4 linked regions of the Saccharomyces cerevisiae S288C genome follow. The protein of the gene in region 4 interacts with the protein of the main gene of each other region in a pairwise test. Each region holds a gene or a part of one and is shown on either strand. Other genes may lie near its edges.

Region 1 (3,973 bases), on a different chromosome or scaffold from region 4:
ACGAAGATGTCGAAGAAATTTAGCTCTAAAAACTCCCAAAGGTACGTGGTGGTACACAGACCCCATGATGATCCTTCATTTTATGATACAGATGCCTCTGCGCACGTTTTGGTTCCTGTCTCCAATCCAAATAAAACTTCTCCAGAAGCAGATCTTCGAAAAAAAGACGTGAGTTCAACAAAACCAAAGGGTAGGAGGGCTCATGTGGGAGAAGCAGCTTTATATGGTATTAATTTTGATGATTCTGAATACGATTATACTCAACATTTGAAGCCAATAGGTCTCGACCCTGAAAACTCCATCTTTATAGCATCCAAAGGCAATGAACAGAAGGTCGAAAAAAAAAACATTGAAGATTTATTCATCGAACCTAAGTATAGACGTGATGAAATTGAGAAGGATGACGCGCTACCTGTGTTTCAAAGAGGGATGGCAAAGCCAGAATATTTACTACACCAACAAGATACCACCGATGAAATTAGAGGTTTCAAACCTGATATGAATCCTGCATTAAGAGAGGTGCTTGAAGCTTTAGAAGATGAAGCATATGTTGTTAATGATGATGTTGTGGTTGAAGACATCAGCAAAAAGACACAACTTCAAGGCGATAACTATGGAGAAGAAGAAAAGGAAGATGACATTTTCGCACAATTACTAGGGAGCGGTGAAGCAAAAGATGAAGACGAATTCGAGGATGAGTTTGATGAGTGGGATATTGATAATGTAGAAAATTTTGAAGATGAAAACTACGTTAAGGAAATGGCGCAATTTGATAACATCGAAAACCTGGAGGACTTGGAAAATATCGATTATCAAGCTGATGTTCGAAGATTTCAAAAAGATAACTCTATACTAGAAAAGCATAACTCGGATGATGAATTTTCTAATGCAGGTTTAGACAGTGTAAATCCCTCTGAAGAGGAAGATGTGCTGGGCGAATTGCCCTCTATCCAAGACAAAAGCAAGACGGGGAAGAAGAAAAGAAAGAGCCGTCAAAAAAAGGGTGCCATGTCAGATGTATCTGGATTTTCCATGAGTTCAAGTGCCATTGCGCGTACAGAGACGATGACAGTACTGGATGATCAGTACGATCAAATCATCAATGGTTACGAAAATTATGAGGAAGAACTAGAAGAGGACGAAGAACAAAATTACCAACCATTTGACATGTCAGCAGAAAGATCTGATTTTGAGTCAATGCTTGATGACTTTTTGGACAATTACGAACTGGAGAGTGGTGGCCGTAAACTGGCTAAGAAAGATAAAGAAATTGAAAGGCTGAAGGAAGCTGCTGATGAAGTAAGCAAAGGTAAACTGTCTCAGAGAAGAAATCGTGAAAGGCAAGAGAAAAAGAAACTTGAGAAGGTCACCAATACACTAAGCAGCTTAAAATTTTAGAGGAGTAGAATGAGATGAGAAAGCACCTACATTACAAGTACTGTGTAGACATGTATACTTAGCCTAGAATGCATTGATGCTAAAATACATCCTGCCCACCGGGTAATAATTATGAAACGCGGCGGTGCTCTTTGTGGATTTCGGAGAAAGGGGGTGGAGGAAGGAGGTCGATTTTCATTATTCAAATATTGTTTTAGTATAAAGAAAACCGGCGTGCATTGCTTCAAAGAGCCGTTCAAATTAGTAACCGTTTGAGATATCTTGTCTTACTACTCGTATTCCGCAGATAAAGTACATTTTAAGAAAGGAAGTAAATACACATAAATAAATAGCAGGAAGAAAATGTCTAACGAAATTGAATTACTGCAGAAGCAAGTCTCTGAATTACAAGACTTAGTGAAGAAGCAAAGTCTGATTATCTCTAAGACAGGAGAGCGTGTGCTGGAATTGCAGTTAGATAAACAAAAGCACGACGTAACTGATTTTGATTCGAAATTCTCTAAATCTATCTCGAAGAAATCAGGATCCGCTACTCAATTCGATGCCACTGATTTTGCCACAAATGAAGATCTAGTGGAATTAGTCAAAGAACTACAGGGTGAGCTAAATTTCATCGAGGAAAGGTCTATCAGAAGACTTGTTAACTCTTTGAAAAAAGATGATGATGACGTTATAGCGCCACTGCCTAATGCAGATGGTGATATTCCTGCTATTTCAGACGGAGTGTTCCCTAAGTCGTTGAAAGAATTTAAAGACATCCCAGACTTAAAACTGGTAAGACTTGCTAAATTCTACGAAAGATTGCCACCAACTCTAAAGGAACAAGAAGATTTTGAAAACTTCCTGGAAGGTAAGGTGGAAGCCTTTCACATTAATGAGACCACTGATGAAGAGATTTCTAAGGAGTTGGAAAAGTTCTCCAAAGATGAGCTAGATGATGCATTTAATGATGTTGCCCGCTATCTAGGTCTCTCCCTTAGAAGAGGAACCGAAATATGGTAAACAGAAAATGAAAAAAAATGAAAAATCAATGAATAAGAGGGCTTGAGTTCCAGGTTCTAGAAATTTCCCTCACTTATATATATATATATATCTATATACATATAGTTTTGAGTATATCATAACAGGATTCTCTTTCAATGAAACCTATGTTTTCCGCGGCATTGCAGTTAAAGGATGTTCTAGTGGTGAAAAAGAGAAGAAAAGAATTCAAAGTTTTCCTCCCATAAGTATACCTATACTTTTTATCTGTGATTGAAAGCTGTATACCAACAGCCTTCTATATATTACCTTGTATACCATTCAGTAGTCTTAAGCATCATCTAACTTTTGACCAGGTCCATTCTGATTGGCTGCGGTAGCCCGCTCCGTTTTCCGCTCTAAGCGTTTGGTACTTGTATAAATGTGCACTGGCATTATGATATCGAGATCCCCGCATAGAAATCTCAGGACCAACCAAAAATTGCCAATCACAAGCTCTAAGAATAATAAACGATGTCTGCAATGATGGTCAAGTTAGGACTGAATAAGTCGGCTCTATTACTGAAACCCTCCGCCTTTTCAAGAGCAGCTGCCTTGAGCTCCTCGAGGAGGCTGCTTTTTAATACAGCTAGAACAAACTTCCTTTCTACCTCACCATTGAAGAATGTGGCCAGTGAAATGAACACCAAAGCGGCAATTGCTGAAGAACAAATATTAAACAAGCAAAGAGCAAAGAGACCTATTTCTCCACATCTGACCATTTACCAGCCACAATTAACTTGGTACCTGTCTTCTCTTCACCGTATTTCGTTGGTGCTTATGGGACTAGGTTTCTACTTGTTTACTATACTCTTCGGAGTCTCTGGTTTATTAGGTCTTGGATTGACTACCGAAAAGGTTTCTAATTGGTACCATCAGAAGTTTTCCAAGATTACCGAATGGTCCATCAAGGGTTCCTTTGCTTACTTATTTGCAATTCACTATGGTGGCGCCATTAGACACTTGATCTGGGATACCGCTAAGGAATTGACATTGAAAGGCGTTTACAGAACTGGTTACGCTCTCATTGGTTTCACCGCCGTTCTCGGTACTTATTTATTAACTTTATGATTCTTTAAGGCGACGCACCTGTTTCTACACACAAATATATATATAGCCAATTTTATATATACGTTCCTATATATGACCCAATACCGCACTTATTTATTCTTTAAGATCTTTATAACCCAAAATGCCGATTAACACAAACCTATATTTACTAGGGGCACATTTTTTATTTTTTTGCCTTTCTGTAAAATACAATAGAGAAAATAAAGGAACAAACAAGAGGAAAAACAGGAAAAGATAGCGCAAGAGTAATCATATTCAACAAAATATCAGTGATTTTTTACAGATATCAAGATAATTTCTTTCCGGATACTTATTGAAGCTATTATTTGTTACTGGCAAGAAAAAGCAAACATAGGCGGTCATTTTTCTTTTGTATAAAGTAAATACAAGAAGAATTATTTTCGAGGAATAACTAGGTGTGCAGAGATATTAAGGAACAAGGAAAGAAGAAAGAAAACAATTCGAACAAAACTTTATTATTCTA
Region 2 (7,031 bases), 190 kb from region 4:
TGACGTTGAGGAGGGAGTATTATCAAAAGATATGGATTGAGTTCTGGTTTTTGCAGTATTGTTAGCTCCTACAGACGGTTTCTTAGCCTTAGAAAAATTCTGCATGTCAGATTGGAAGTCCTTTGACAAGGTTACATTGTTGGCCGCATTGATAAGGTCAGTTGGTGATAAAGCATGAAAAGTTTGTCTTCTGAACGAACTAGCCTTATTATTAGACTCCCTGCCCTTAGATGGTAGGCTTTCTTGTAGAGTAGCGGTGGTTTCTTCAATGGCTACAGATGCTGATCCTGGTACGTTTGAATGAGTCCATAACGGATCAGCCGATGCGATTGGCAATACCTTCATTGAATTGTCATTTATCAATGGGTTTAGATTTTGTCCACCTTGAGTTGCTACCGCAGCACCCGAAGACAGCATTTGAAATGGAAGTGAGTCATTCTTGAATAACATTGGTGGACCGCCTGCATTCAAGGGCGAGCTACTCAATGGTGCTGTTGGATCATTAAAATCAGGGGGCGGAAAAAATGGACAAGGATTATGAGGAACCTGCATCATTTGAGAGTAGGGCATGAAGCCCATTCCACCCATCATTTGTGGATGTGGAAACATTTGCGACGGAGGGCCATTAGCGAATTGAGAATCTTGAGAAACTTTATTCGCAAATGCATTAGAGGTGGCGTTTTCCTCTGGATCATCTAGTTGCAACTGCTCTAAAGCAGAATTGACTGTTTCTGAAACGACAGGGTCTACTGATGGTACATCATCGATTTCTTCTTTCAAACCTTTTGTAGACATAACGTAGGTCCACTTAAAAATGTTACAGCGCTTAGTTCTCTCTTTCTTAAAAGATATCGAGGACAAAGAAACAGTAAGAACGGAAAATGAACAGAGACTCTTAAAAGAACCTAAAGAATAAGCGAAAATAAAATATGAAAAGAGAACTAGTGGACAATATCAACAGGAATTTTAAGTGTACTAAAAATAAATCGTCTGGAATAGTGTACAAAAACGAATAATATTAATGACGGCTCAAATCCTAACGTTGGAAACTAAAATACAATAAAAATAATGTACAATGTAATATACGGAAGAAAGTTTTTTTTCTGTTTCAACAAAAAAAAAAACTATTCAAAAAAAAGACGTGAGGTACTGTTTGCTGTTCACCTTCGGAGAGAGATAACCAACCGATATTCTCTTTGAGTCTGAGTGATTTGTTAAACAAGGTGCAACGAATAAGAATATAACTATACTATCTACTATATTGATCATTATTTTTTATTCTCTGGAGGACCCCAGAACAAAAAAAATATAGAAAAAAAACAATCGTCAAGAGTGACAAATACATGAGTAATAAGAAAAGGCGTCACAAATTAAAATTTGCAGTCACAAAGAGAAATAGACAGAGAATAGACTGTCTGGAATTAAGATGTCTTTTCTATCTGAGCTCCCAACAAGGCAACGGTATTGGACAGATATAATTCACAAATCACAATTCACTCCATGGAAGACACGATACGTCCATTAAATTACGCAGATATCGAGACCAGCGGGCCCATAAACCTTCTTGAGACAACTAATAACCTAAAAAGCTCGTTAAAAAAGTTTTCACAAAAGGCAAAGGGATCACACATTTCCAGAGAAAGGATTCACCATTTTAGAAAATGGAAAAATAAGACCGAATCACTTTCAGAAAACCATTTGAAGCCTCCTCCTGACGTCGACTCTCTATGTTTCAGTAACTGCTTTCAACCTGACGCCCTGTCTGGAAATGTATTTTTACCCCCCAGAAGCTCAAACATGTATTGGAATGAAAAGCAATTACAATTAGAAATGGAAATTCTAAAATTTTTATCACTAAATACTAGCAATGAATGCTGCACTTCTGATGATTAGCTTTTACACACATATATACTGCTACTATCTTTAAAGCACAAAAAAAAAATCTATCAAAAAGGATCAACGCATTACTAAATAAAATGTAACAAAGAATAGCCTTCACCCTCAGCGGAGAAATTCTTAACAAATCATCCTTGGTAATTTGGAAGTGTGGTACAATCCAACCACCACTGCAAAATAACATTTCCAGCTGCTCTGCTTCCTCTCGTAATAAGTAATTTATTAATAAATTTTTCATGACCTGCAGGATTGTTACATATTTGGGGCAAAACAGCAACGAGCCACTCTCTTGCTTCAATTGGAAACTTGGCTACCAAAGCTCTTAGCAGATCTGTGTAACTATTCAGATCGGACCTTTGTGTGTGGAATAAGCCATACATAATTTGGTACACAAGGTCTCCTCCTATAGAGGAAACTTGTTGCCTAACAGTTGTGAGTTCTTCTTGGTTGTATTTCTTATTATTGATCAACTTAGTCCAAAATTTTGCCACCGCAACAATTGTGAACTTTTCTCTTGAAGGTATTAATTTTAAAAATTGAGGTAAAATAAATGATGTCCAATGTTTACTGCCAATAGCTAAGCCTGGCTTCACGTCCAAAACGTTATTAACAAAACCTATTGTCATTTGTAAAAGGTCCGGATCATTGATAATATATGCATCATAATAGACTAGAAGGATCTTTTCAAACATGAAATCAAATTCTTGTGGTGTTAGTTCCTTCCTGAACTCTGAAATAAGCTTTTCTAATAAATAAACAAAATAAGGCAAGCAAGTAGCAAGCTCACAGTTGGGGACATGCCGCAAAACAAAATTCATAACTTCAGACATATTGTACTTGAGGAAGTACGGTTCCCCGTCGGGCAGATTTAATCCTTTACCAACAATCAAACAACCGATCTCCACAAAGGCGGAGTTTTTACAATATATTGAATTATCCAAGACCTTATCAATGGTGCACATAATTTTCGATCGGATTTGTAAGGGATCGCTGGACCAGAAACTTTGAAACTCAGATAACCTTTGTAGTAATGCATCATTTTCGATGATTTCAGTAGGTTGGATCAAACTTGTTGCTAGCTCAGATATACAGTATAATAGACAATTAATATAATCTTGTTGTTCTTGTAACTGTACCGATGAAGCCAAACAATGCTCTATTGAGCCGCTCAATAGGTTCGTCAATTGTAAAATATATTTAGCTTGCTCCTCTGGACCGTTGGAGACTTGACATTGAACGACATAACCTATAGATCTAACCAATTTAGTTCTAGTGAAATGTGAAACATTGGAGTCTGGCATAATGACTGTGTTTAAAAAGCTTATAAAATGCATCAAATATGGAGTCAACTCCTCACGGCATGTCTCACATAATGTTGAAACAGTCTTGATAACCATAACTTCAAGTTTATCGTTCGAAATTTTTTCTTGTTCGTTTTTACTAGTAAAATTGGTGCAAGTGTGCAAACCTTGAAATAAAGCTTCCACGTATGGGTTTAATTGAAAAGGTTCCTGTTTAAAATAACCAGCCAAAGTGCCGATTAAAGTTGTACTTGTTCTTACGAAGTCAAGTTTCAAAATTTGACTGACTTTTGTACTGGCACTAGTTTGGAAACCAGTTTGGAAGACGGATATGACATTTTGGTTGAAGAATTTGTTGGCATCAACGATATTTTTAATCCATGGGCTTTCTGATAGAGTCATATCAACCAATATAGTATTCAAAACAAAACACATCGTTTCAATTCGAAACAAAACATCAGTATCCTTGATGATGAGAGTCTCATCACTCGCAGCAGGCATTTGGCCCATACCATCAATTAGCACATTTGTTAAATTATCGTTTCCCAAAATAGACCAGAGAGATTGAGCAAGGTCACTGACAGCGTTTCTAAAATCTTCAAATTCGTTCACAGAAGTGCTCTCACCCTCTTCTTCAATTATTCTTTGTTTCACACTCAAAGAAATTTTGGGTAAATAAATATTGATCAACTGCTGAAAAATTTGTGTAGACAGCTCAATAGAATTTGGCCTCAAAGTTTCGCTAGCCAAATTAGTGTAAGCATCCGATAAATCCAACCAAAAATCAACCATTCTAACAGAAAAGAACTCTTGTAAGACAGGAGTTAAAGGGAAATTGGTCATTTGCAAAAGGACTTTGATGTATTCCTGAATATATTCATCTTGAACTTGACCATTATCAGCTGCTTGAATGTTAGTAAATAATTTATTACAAACACTTAACGTGTTAATTTGCAAGAAATCCACAATACAAATGGCCAATTCCTTCAATTCGGAAAAAAAATCATTGGTAACTAAATAATTCATATATTGTAGCATCCAAGAATTTTTGTTAGATATGTCGGTTATGCCAGAATCAGGCCTTACTACACCTAAGAAAATACACTCGATTTGTTGTCTCAAATCGTAACTCATTAATAATGGATCATTAGCAAAAACATTACCAAATATTGTTAGGATCTTTTCCGCATTCTCATAACCGTCCGATCCTTCTGTAGACTGATACATCAAGTCAATCAGGTTTTGAAAAATTTCCGACAAATCCATTCTACCACTTGAAGATACGCTTCTGGTTAATGAGATATAATTAATCCAAGCAGTAATACAATCAAATACGGTAGGATTGAAGACAGCTTGTGCAGTTAAGTTCAAGTTGATCAAAGCCATAGTTGAAATATATAAATGCTCATGGACTACTTCGTGGATTTGAGACATTGAATGCCTCTTTGTTTGGAACTTCGTCAAATCTTCCACAATAACTTCTGTAAACGTCAATGCCAGTTCATTATGTTTCTGAGATAGGCTAACAAATTGAGACAGTTGCTCGTATGTTAAGGAGCAGTTGATTGAGTCAAGCAACAGTTGGTCTGCATTAATGTTTTGATTTTGAACCGACATAAGTTGAATAAACGTATTTATGGGATTGTTCCATTGCTTAATCATATTTTCATTTCCAGCGTTATTAAGCTGCGGATCGTTGATTTTAGTGAAGATCAATGACAAGTTTGACATTAACTTTTTAATTATGATTAGAGATTGCCCGTACATATTAGGATTGGAAACGTACAATGTACTGAATTTCGTCAAGTACAATAAATTTGACCTGAAAACATTCCATAGGGTTTCATAATCGTTTTCACCCCGCGTATTTAGTTGCACAGTTAAAGTCAGTGCACCAAAGTACTTGACATTCGCAGAGTACTTGTCATCAGATAAAAGCTCATTAGCTAGGTGGAAGCCTTGCTCTGATTTCTGGATTGACTGTAAACTCTGTTGAATCTGATTAACATCATGTTTCGGATGAGGAGAGTACAGCTCTTCAATAAGAGCCACAACCTCGTGAATGGAGCTCATCAAAAACTAAGAATAAGAGACTAGTTACTATGGTATTCAAATCTGTGTTTAGCAATATCTATATGTTCTGAAGTTTTTAAGAACTGTTAGCAATACAGTGAAGTGCTACAAATAGTTCGAGCTTTTTCTCAAATTTTTCACGCGATGAGGAGACAAAAAAGCATCAGGTATTTAATGGATAAATCACCTCCAAAACTATTCCATCAACTATATAAAATTATCTCAGCGCGATGGTGAGAATGTTTGAATGCTAAAAAATGTTATACATTAGGATTGTTATTAGAATAGTGTGTTGAAGGCTCACATTTGCTCACTATATAAAATGACGGCTTTCATACAAGTTTCGAAGCCAAATAACCGTATCACGTCACAAATACGTTTCTTGACATTCGGAGGTTCGCTATAAAAGTTAATTAATGGTCGAATCCCCTCCGTTTCGATTTCGAAGAGAAATAGTCTTCCCTCCAGGTCAGTGATCTTGCCAGATTGCATAATGTCCAGCAATTCCCATAGCGGGAGTAATCCCGGCACCACATTAGGAATACCATTTGGAGCATGGCCATTGTGTTCTTTCAAATGGTAGATGGTATCTAAATCTTCCTCTTCGTACGGTATACCGTAAAGTTCTTTCAATTCCAATGCAGATTCATTTGCAGATTTAAACGCACACCCTCCCACACCGTATATTTCCTCAGCAATATTCTTGTACTTGACAACATTATCAGTGGGAAATCCCTCCCCTCTTCCGGTTTCAGAGTCAACGAGGTAGAGCTCCTTAGTAACTTTCGTCTCTTCTTCACCTATGACAAAGAGTTTGCCCCTAGAAATCATATCCTGAATGGGTTTCAATGGGATATATTTACTGTGACACACATCCAGTACTTCCGCACCATAGTTTGCTTTATAATTCATCTTCGGACAGTCCTCAATATAGTACCCCAGGTAATAGTATTGCAGATTTGTCCTTTGAATGATGGCAAGATCGCGCAAAGCACTGAGCTTCCCTAGGGACCATTTACTGTAGTCTGGATCCCAAATAAAATATACCGAAGATATACCACTGGGCAAGATATCTGACACAGTGATGGCAATTAATTTACCCTCATAGTAGTAGCATTCGTGCACAGGACCCATATGCTTCAGTTTCTCGCCTGGCTTCATTCGCTGCCAATTGTTTAACTGCTCCCATGATTCTTGTGTCCCCAACACCGCTTCAGGGCCAAAGGGCGTATCACATAGGAATCGCTTAAAGGACTTCGGCGAATTATTGTAGTCTTGATGCACTTTTTCCTGATATTTGACAAATAAGTGATACTTTTCTTCACTATAAAGTGCAGGCTCAAATCGGGTATAGAATGTTTTAGAATTCATCTCTGCATTAACAATTTTGCCCACAAAATCACTGCTTGCAACAGCGGCTGGGCAGTAGTCCTCACTTGTTATTCTAGTAGCAAAGCGGCTGATGCATTTTTTCAATTCCTTTGTCATATTCAATTCTTGAGGGGCAGTTCGAATGGTGTATAACCTACAACAATTCCTCAACGGGTCCACTTTATAAAGAAACTTACCAGACCTTCTAAATCCCATATTACACATGCGATCATACGTGGCTACATCCATATGTTCCACGAAAGAGCCAATTGTGCAGTTTTCAATCTTTACAACGTCCATTTTGTTCATATAACGATGAGCCCACGAATCCAATGCGAACAACTGATCCATGTTGCCCCCCTTATTACCGTGACAATACCCACACTTTGC
Region 3 (4,353 bases), on a different chromosome or scaffold from region 4:
CTGCCACTTCACCGTTCAGTCTTAGCAAGTACGAACGCTCCAGTGTCTTGAATCCGAAATACGTATACTGGAAATCCCTATCGTACACGATGGCCGAGTTCAAAGTATCTTTGTTTTCCATGACAATGTTGTAAATTTCGTCCGAAATCATAGGAGCATGCTTTCCAGTAGCTGGGTTAATCCAGTCGTGTAAATCCTCAATAACTTTGGAGAATTGCTTTGTGGTTTGCTTATGTAAGTTAGAGATGGCGATTCTAGCGGCTAGAGTGGCATAATCAGGGTGCACAGTGGTCATGTATGCACATGTTTCAGCTGCAAGATTGTCCAGCTCAACGGTAGTAACACCGGAGTACACACCAGAAATAATACGTTGGGTTACCTTAACAGCATCAATACGGTTTGGGTCTAAACCGTATGACAAACGGGTGATACGGGAGGTAATTTTATCGAATTGAACGGGCTCTTTGCGGCCGTCTCTTTTAATAACGTACATTTGTGTGGGAGTATTTGATTTATTGCTGCTGCTATTCTTGCTTGTCATATTTATTTCAACTTGGATATGAGATGAGAGAAAGGCAAGGAAGAAGGCAAAAGAAGGCAAAATAGCAGTGCGTTTATATACGTTTTGCAGCAGAACACGAAACAATATAAAGAACGCTGACACGAAAAACGAAACGCGTCAGCATCTCACAATACAGTATTACGATTTAACAATAGACTATTGTTTTTTTCCCATCTTGTCGTTTGGTCCTCGCCATGGCAACCGGGTTTTTGCCCCTTTGAGCAGCGCCTAGGTGTCGTTGCTGCGACAACCACGAAAAAAAAAAAAAAAAAAAAACAAAAGAACAACGGCACGCAATGTTGCTGTGACAACCGTAGGCAGATAACTTGGCTTTTTTTACTACTTTAGGAAAATTAGCAGCCAAGAACGAGGGCTTGCTCTGCTACCTAGTTCAAACTGAAACAAGCCTTCACTTTCTTTTCTTTTCTTTTTTTTTTTATCTAACAACTGAAGATTAAATGATAAATGTTTACGCGTGCGTGCGATTCATTCTTATGTATGTACGTATGTGCTGATTTTTTATGTGCTTGTTACCTTCTCTTGTTTCTTAAGAAGAAACTAGCCACGGCCACAGCGCCGGCTAGTACGCCTCCAGCGACGACAACACCCTTGAGTGTTTCCTTCTGGATCTTATCCTCTACCATACTCTTCAAAGCGCCCACCTGCTTGTTATTACGCTCATGCTCAAATAAAGTGTCTACATATCTCTTCGCCATAGAGTATTCACCGAGTTTGTAGCAACCTATGGTCAGATAATATAGGCATTCTCGTCTACGGGACTCGGCCTCTTTGTAAATGTCTGTGAGGATTTTCACACCAAGCCTTTCGTCATTCACGTCAGTGGATTTGATCAGCCCCCATGCGTAGTTAAACCTTGACTGTATGGTAGCGGTGGGCCCCCCCTCGGAGACGACTTGCTGGCGCAGAATCTCCAGCTGCTGCGGATAGAGTGGTTCGTATGCGTCCTTAAGAGTTGGCCAAAAATCTACTTTGGTCATACTTATGTTGTATGGCTGTGCTCTGATCTGTGCTTCTATGTGCCGTTTTTACGCAAGGTATATGATAACTTCTGTGCAGAATAGTGGCAATGGCAGCTTTGCTTTGAAAGGGGTCCAGCCTAGCCCGCTTGCGGTGTTCCGGCATAAATGCGCAAAAAGATTGGTTCATGAAAAGAAGTGAAAAAAAATCGATGAGCTCAGCTCTTAAGAACGGTATTATGGAACGAACTCAACCCGAAAAGGTAGTACAGATGCAGGGCACGGCAGATTTGAGCACTTCGAAACTTGGTACGAAAAAATACTGGGATGAACTGTATGCCCTGGAGCTGGAGAATTTCAGGCGGAATCCGCAGGATACCGGGGACTGTTGGTTTAGCGATAGCGATGCTGAACAAAAGATGATTGATTTTCTGGTAGATAACATTGGTGCGTACAGAATTTCTGAGAATGCTTCTGTTGTAGACCTCGGTACAGGTAATGGACACATGTTATTTGAACTGCATCAAACGGAATTCCAAGGGAAACTGGTCGGGATAGACTATTCTGAGGAAAGCGTCAAACTCGCTAGTAATATAGCCGAGGCCACCGGTGTTGACAATTTCATCAGTTTCCAGCAAGCAGACATCTTTAGTGGTGACTGGAAGCCGGGAAAGTATGACATTGTGTTGGATAAAGGGACCCTAGATGCCATTTCATTGAGTGGCATGAAGATCAACGGTAAACTTGATGTAGTCGATGTATACGCCGGAGTAGTGGAAAGGATTTTGAAAAAAGACGGTATTTTCTTGATCACTTCTTGTAATTTCACACAAGATGAACTAGTAAAGATCATAGAGACTGATAATTTGAAAATGTGGAAAACAATAAAATACCCTGTTTTCCAATTTGGCGGGGTCCAGGGTGCGACCATATGTAGTGTAGCATTTGTTAAACAAAACTGATTTGTTTTTATCTTTGATTTATTTTTAACGTTATTTCTCTTTACTTATTTAGGAACGGATTTAACTATAATGTTATACAATTCATCCGTGGTTTCCTTCTTACCAGTCTTTATGGCGTACTGTGCAGGATCACCGTTATCATCTACTGCTAGTAATCTTATGAATTTTTCGCTTTGCAAAGAACCTGTAAATCCTTTTTGCACAGTGAACCCCTTGACCAGTTGGATGTTTAAAATGACTTTTAAGATACCACGAGACCTCATAACAATACGCGTCTTCTCGACGTCGTCCTTACTTTTATTGATTTTGATGATACCAACACCTCTTTCCTTCCAGCCTTCTTTTATGTTGGAAAGTTGGTACAGCTTCGCATTGACTTGATATATGCACTCCTCAGACTCTTCACCAGACTTGACTTCCTGTTTCTGCAATTTGAGGGGTTTTGGTTTGTCTTTTGTATCTTCTGAGGCATTCGCTAGTTGTTCAGATCCACTATGGACTTTATCTTTGTCAACATCAGTAGCTTTCTTTTCACTTTCAGAGTTATTTTCTGTTTTGTTTTTCAGTATGTTGAAGCCGCTGCCAAATGATAAACCTGAACCAAATGCAAATGGCTTCTTTGTTTTGCTGTCAGAGGCTGGTAAACTTTCAGTACTGGTAGTTGCATCTCCATCTTTCGTGTCCTTTTTGGCAACACCAAACCCAGTTCCAAATTTAGATGCGGCACCAAACACGAATTTATCCTCCTTTTTGTCATCTTCCACAATACCAGATTCTACGGTCTTTCCGTCGTCAACCTTGATCTTCTTATGCGATGGTTCTTGGTCTTTTTTACCTTCCTCCTTTTTCTCCTCATCATTTTTATTGGGTGCTTCTGATTTGTCACTCGTTTCTTCCGCTTGTTCATCCTGATCTTTTTCCCTCGGTCTCTTAGGAGTTCCATCTAGTTTATCGATAGGATTTTCAACTGCAGTTTGTTTCACCTCAGAATTTTCCCTGGCTGCATTGCCACCATTGGTCTCACTCATGCTCTCAAAGTTTATGCGTACTTGTTTTGTGCAAATTGATTTGTTGACATTTTGGTTTGAGTAGCAACTGAGCTTTTTAAAATCCAGGCATTTATATCTTCAACCTCGCCAAACAATGTCAATTTTTTTAAAAAAAAACTCAATACCTACATCACCGCGAAATGCCTGAAGTAAAAGCATATAACAAACGCGACCCTTAAAATTACGTATATATATGTATATTTCTTTATACTAAGTTTTACTGGGCAGAGTATCATACAGTTCTTCTATCCGATATATAATGAACGATAGGTGTGACACCACTGACTTGAGTAATTCTTTCCAGCCACGCAAGCAAGACACCCCCTTGTTTCTGGCCCTGAGGTACGGACATTCCTTTGTAGAGATACTTTACCAGCACGTCCCTCTGAGAATCACTCAAATTTTTGATTACATTACCAATATCGGCTTGCCTGACTTGTGTCAATGCTTCAAGGACGCTCTTAAAATATTGCTCCTTTGTTGGAGCATCTGCACTGTATGGAGGATCGGTTGTGAGTAATTGAACGGCTCCCAAAGAGTCACCACTTGTGGCAAGCGAGCGCAATTGATTCATTCGAGGTTGTAATTCTTGTAATGTGACAGTAGTTTCGTATGGTGGTACCAGATCGGCAGCGGTTAGTCTGCCACTCTCTGGATCAAATGCATCGATGTCAATTCTCCTCCAATCGGCTTCCATTGCTTGATCGTTCGCGTGTGTTGTGTTGAGTCTTCTCTGGTCTCCTTTGCTATAGTATCTTGTGTTAAATGCGGGCTGTTTTTCTCTTATTTTGTTATAGGGGCAA
Region 4 (4,551 bases):
GAAGGCGGTGAAAACAAAAAGAATATTAAAAAAAGTAATGTATGGGTTCTCGTTGTACGGATGTTTAAAATGTCCTGAAAAATACCAATTAGACGGTTCTGTGCTTGTTATATATAGATGTCTATACGACTCAACATATGTATGTTGCTGCATTTTAGAAAAAAATTAGGCATTAAACATTAGGCTACACAGGAAATAATGTTTCCTATCAAAAGAGTTCTAACTTGAATTGTTCCTTCACAATTAAAAAAAATAAAAGAGTACATATTTAGGAGGGGGAAGAGATATTGATAATAGACTAAAGTAAGGAGTGAGGAGAGGGCAAAATACAATAATAGATGAAAAAAAAAATAGGAAAATAAAACAATTTTTTCAGAGTGAGGGAACAGAAATGATTATCTGTCCACGCATTAATTAAAAGAGATTAATTAGTATGGTAACTTGTTCTTTTCTGCTGGTTTTTTTTTTTTTGTTTCTAATAGATTGTTGATTTATTTTGATTAAGCTGTTGTTTGTTGGGGAAGAGACTCACTTTGCTGGTGTCCGACTTGTTCATGTTCTTCAACAGCACCTTCTTCTTCTTGTTCAGGTTCTTCAATTTGTCCATCTTCTTGTTCGTCTTCGGACCACCTGCCTTGACCGTCTTCCTCTTCCTCTTCTTCGCCTTCTTCAGGTTCGAAGTCTTCGTAATCCTGCTTGAAACTTAAAGTAGGCTTGACTTGGGCAGAGTCTAGTGTCCATTCATTCAGTGCGCTTTCAGCATCAATAATGATTTGTTTAGAGGCTTCATACCCATCGTAAGCAGGCCTGGTTTCACCTGGAGTGACAGGAGAGTCGTCCAATAGTTCCAAGAGAGCCTTACCGTAACCAGCGATTAAAGCAATTTTCTCTGAATGTTCGATGATGGAGTCAAATTGGTAGTTGAAAGCAGCTCTCAACTTTGACCTTGTGATATTAGATAATTGAGCTTCAGCGACCAAAGATTCAGCCTCAGCACGCACCAATTCTTGTTCCAAGACCTCAATCTTAGGTGATTGAGGATCTTTGTATTTCAAGTAGGCGATTTTGTCGGTGATCTTGTCCTTACGGTCTCTAGATGGTTGAACAGAACCTTCGATATCTCTGATGGACTTTAGAGTCAATCTGTATTGGTCATAACGATCGATAAATTGGTCGTCTAATTCACTAACTTCATAGATCAAGACACCTAATTTATCAGTGATGTCGGAAACATCGTCATCGTTTTCCAACCCCCAAATAGACAATTGCTTAGCAGCGTCACGTCTTTCGTTGGCTGTCAATTCCATGGACCTCAAAACATTCTTTTCAATCTTAACCAATTGAGACAACTTTCTGGATAATTCTGGGCCAAAAGCTCCAGCAGCACTTCTCCTAAAGCTGTAAGCTAGACCACCCTTCCCAAAGAATCTACCTTTGGTTGTAGATGGTGGTGGCGGTGGGTTCTGTAATTGAGAGGCGGTAGGTGCCCTGGAATTTCTTAAAGAGTAAGTTCTGTGCATACTATATACTTGATGCTGATATATTCTTCACTTTGCAATACTGCTAACAATGGAAAAGTATAGGTAAATAAATGTGCAGATGCAGATGTGAGACAAATTTTCTTTCTTGGGTTGGGATAATCAACGCATTGTACCCAAACGACGGGAAACAAGGAAGGATGCAGAATGAGCACTTGTTATTTATAAAAAGACACGGGAGGGGGAATCCCGTCTTTCGTCCGTCGGAGCCAAAGAGATGAGCCAAAGCAGAAAAACAGGGGACGCCGCCCTTCTTCCGTCCCGTGCGTGAGGGGGGCGCGGCCATTCGGTTTTTGCAATATGACCTGTGGGCCAAAAATCGAAAAAAAAAAAAATAAGAGGCGGCTGCGGAATTTTATAAGACAAGCGCAGGGCCAAAGAAAAAATAATAATTGACGTGGCTGAACAACAGTCTCTCCCCACCCCTTTCCAAAAAGGGGAATGAAATACGAGTTCTTTTTCCCAATTGGTAAATATTCAACAAGAGACGCGCAGTACGTAACATGCGAATTGCGTAATTCACGGCGATAACGTAGTATTTAGATTTAGTATAATTTGAACCGATGTATTTATTTGTCTGATTGATTTATGTATTCAAACTGTGTAAGTTTATTTATTTGCAACAATAATTCGTTTGAGTACACTACTAATGGCTTATTGTTTGGCATTTGTAGCGGCAGTCAATTGCGCTTGTTTGATCAAACTTTCCGGAGCATCAAAGACGGGCAGTTTCAGTTCAATTAGTCTGATCACCGAGTTTTTCTGGAACTCTGAATCAGTGGTTAAGGCATCCCACTCACCCGTAGTGGCGATCTTGTGATTTTCGTACTTTTTCGCACCAAATGCGGGCAACAGGGCGAGGTGATCCCAGGTCTGGATTTCGTTGTACTCTGCGTGAGGCCCATGAATCAGCTTTTCGATAGTGTAGCCGTCGTTGTTAAGGACAAAAAGATACGGCTTTAACCCCCATCTGATCATGGTGGAGATTTCTTGGACGGTTAACTGCAAAGACCCGTCACCTATGAATAAGATGACTCTCTTGTTGGGGTCAATCTCCTCAGCGGCAAAGGCAGCACCTAAAGTTGCTCCTGTTGTAAAACCGATGGACCCCCACAACACCTGCGAGATACCGTAGGCGTCCTTAGGAAAGATAGTTTGATTGATACCGAAGGCAGACGTGCCGGTCTCGGAAATGATAACATCACCTTCTTGCAAGAATTTGGACAATTCGTTCCACAACCACTCTTGTTTCAAGGGCGTGCTAGCAGGTACACCTTTGTTTGCGGGAGTTTTGGTTGGTACGGGAACGCTCTTGTAGCCCTTAACAACATCGGGAATAACCTTCAGTAAGTTTTGTAGTGCAAATTTCATTTGTACACCGAGGAACGTAGCGTTCTTCACCTTTACGTAATCGGAATGAAACTCCACTACATTTTTAGTCTTGTAGGAGTAGGAAAACGAACCTGTGTTAAAATCAGAGAGCAAAGCACCGACCGAAAGGATCAAATCAGCCGACTCAACGGCCTGTTTCACGTCTTGTTTGGACAGCGTTCCCACATAAACACCGCCATATCTGGGATGCTGTTCATCTATTGACCCTTTACCTAGAGGTGTCACAAAAGCTGGGAATTGCGTCAAATCAATTAACTTCTGGGTTTCTTTTTTAACGTTGTGCCTAGAAGCACAGGCATCCGATAGTATAACAGGGTTTTTCGAATTCTGGATCAATTCTAGTACGGTATCAATAACTTCCTTTTCAGCTTCGGGATCGTTAGGTTTTAATGATAGATCAATCGGTTTTTCCAAAAGAGAACCAGGAACCTTTAGATCTACCAAATTCGCTGGCAACCCCAAGTAGCTAGGCCTTTGTGTTATAAATGTTGTCCTGATCAACCTATCGATTTCTGAAGGGGCTGTAGCAATGTCTGTAATCATTGATGTAGTTTCTGAGATATTGGCGGACATTCTGTGAAAAACGGTAAAATCACCGTTACCCAAGGTATGATGCAACAACAATTGCTTAGCCTGAGCGGAGATAGAGGGGACACCAACAACATGCAGTACACCGACGTGTTCTGCATACGATCCTGCAATACCATTCAAGGCGGATAATTCACCTACGCCAAAAGTAGTTACCAGCACAGATAAACCCTTGATGCGTGCGTAACCATCGGCGGCATAGGCGGCGTTCAGCTCATTTGCATTACCAGCCCATCTCAATCCATCTACCTCGTAAATCTTGTCCAATAGGGACAAGTTGAAGTCGCCTGGTAGCCCAAAAATGGTGTTAACATTAACTTGCTTCAATCTTTCAAATAAGTATTTTCCAAGAGTAATTTCAGACATTTTGTTGGCAATATGTTTTTGCTATATTACGTGGGTTTTTTATTTATACTGTATATAAAAGAGGACTGCAATAGCACAAGATTAAGATAGAATGGCTTCAAACAGCCGCCTTTTATACATATTGGTAAAAGCTCGCGAATCGCACCATATCCCTTATCCTGTAATCAAATCGATCTAGGTGCAGATACAGATCAATTCATAAAAAGAAATTGAAGCACCAGTTTATCACTACTACACTATCTTTTTCTTTTTTTTTTTTTTTTGCGAAGTTTCGCCCTTTGTTCAATATCACTTGATAAGTTGTGGGCTTTTTCTGTCACTCATTCGGCTTAAAAAGTATTCGTTCTTTTGTGTTTTATGAAAAGGGAACGTGATATAAAAAAACATCCTTTGGTGTGGGACATGGGCTTTTGTTTAGAGAATGGTTATCACTACCGCCCCCACCCTTGAAAGCCACAGAAAATGAAAAAGTATGTGAATAAGGTGTGAACTCTATAACATTTTGGCCAAATGCCACAGCCGATCTGCATATTCCAATGGACATAATGCAACAACAATTGATGTCACATTCTCTTACACACTTCGATTGGTCCGTACGTAGTACTTTTTACATAACTGACTCAGGCGTTTCCTTCATTGAAATGCTCATCTATTGCCAAGTACATAG

Evidence for each region.
Region 1: the proteins of PIL1 (region 4) and MRP8 interact in binary tests that used the Saccharomyces cerevisiae proteins (3 or more experiments, as listed by UniProt).
Region 2: the proteins of PIL1 (region 4) and KAP122 interact in a protein complementation assay, tested with the Saccharomyces cerevisiae proteins (one study listed by BioGRID).
Region 3: the proteins of PIL1 (region 4) and FIS1 interact in a two-hybrid assay, tested with the Saccharomyces cerevisiae proteins (one study listed by BioGRID).

Annotation. Positions count from the first base shown.
Region 1 is NC_001143.9:176,775-180,747, forward strand, and holds MRP8 (Mrp8p), read left to right. Parts: upstream 1-1,740; coding exon 1,741-2,400; downstream 2,401-3,973. Other genes in the region: ribosome biogenesis protein LTV1, read left to right, coding at 7-1,398; succinate dehydrogenase cytochrome b subunit SDH3, read left to right, coding at 2,893-3,489.
Region 2 is NC_001139.9:459,905-466,935, reverse strand, and holds KAP122 (Kap122p), read right to left. Parts: upstream 5,271-7,031; coding exon 2,025-5,270; downstream 1-2,024. Other genes in the region: PUF4 (Puf4p), read right to left, coding at 1-795; BIL2 (Bil2p), read left to right, coding at 1,501-1,893; ATE1 (arginyltransferase), read right to left, coding at 5,571-7,031.
Region 3 is NC_001141.2:240,216-244,568, forward strand, and holds FIS1 (Fis1p), read right to left. Parts: upstream 1,561-4,353; coding exon 1,093-1,560; downstream 1-1,092. Other genes in the region: ribonucleotide-diphosphate reductase subunit RNR3, read right to left, coding at 1-493; EFM4 (Efm4p), read left to right, coding at 1,812-2,501; YRB2 (Yrb2p), read right to left, coding at 2,546-3,529; ARC15 (Arc15p), read right to left, coding at 3,783-4,247. UniProt on the Saccharomyces cerevisiae protein: Has a role in mitochondrial fission. Has a role in outer membrane fission but not matrix separation. Required for targeting MDV1 to the mitochondria.
Region 4 is NC_001139.9:649,098-653,648, forward strand, and holds PIL1 (lipid-binding protein PIL1), read right to left. Parts: upstream 1,521-4,551; coding exon 501-1,520; downstream 1-500. Other genes in the region: PDC6 (indolepyruvate decarboxylase 6), read right to left, coding at 2,193-3,884. UniProt on the Saccharomyces cerevisiae protein: Negative regulator of cell wall integrity (CWI) in unstressed cells, probably by inhibiting protein kinase PKH1/PHK2 activity and regulating their downstream CWI pathways PKC1-MAP kinase pathway and protein kinase YPK1 pathway.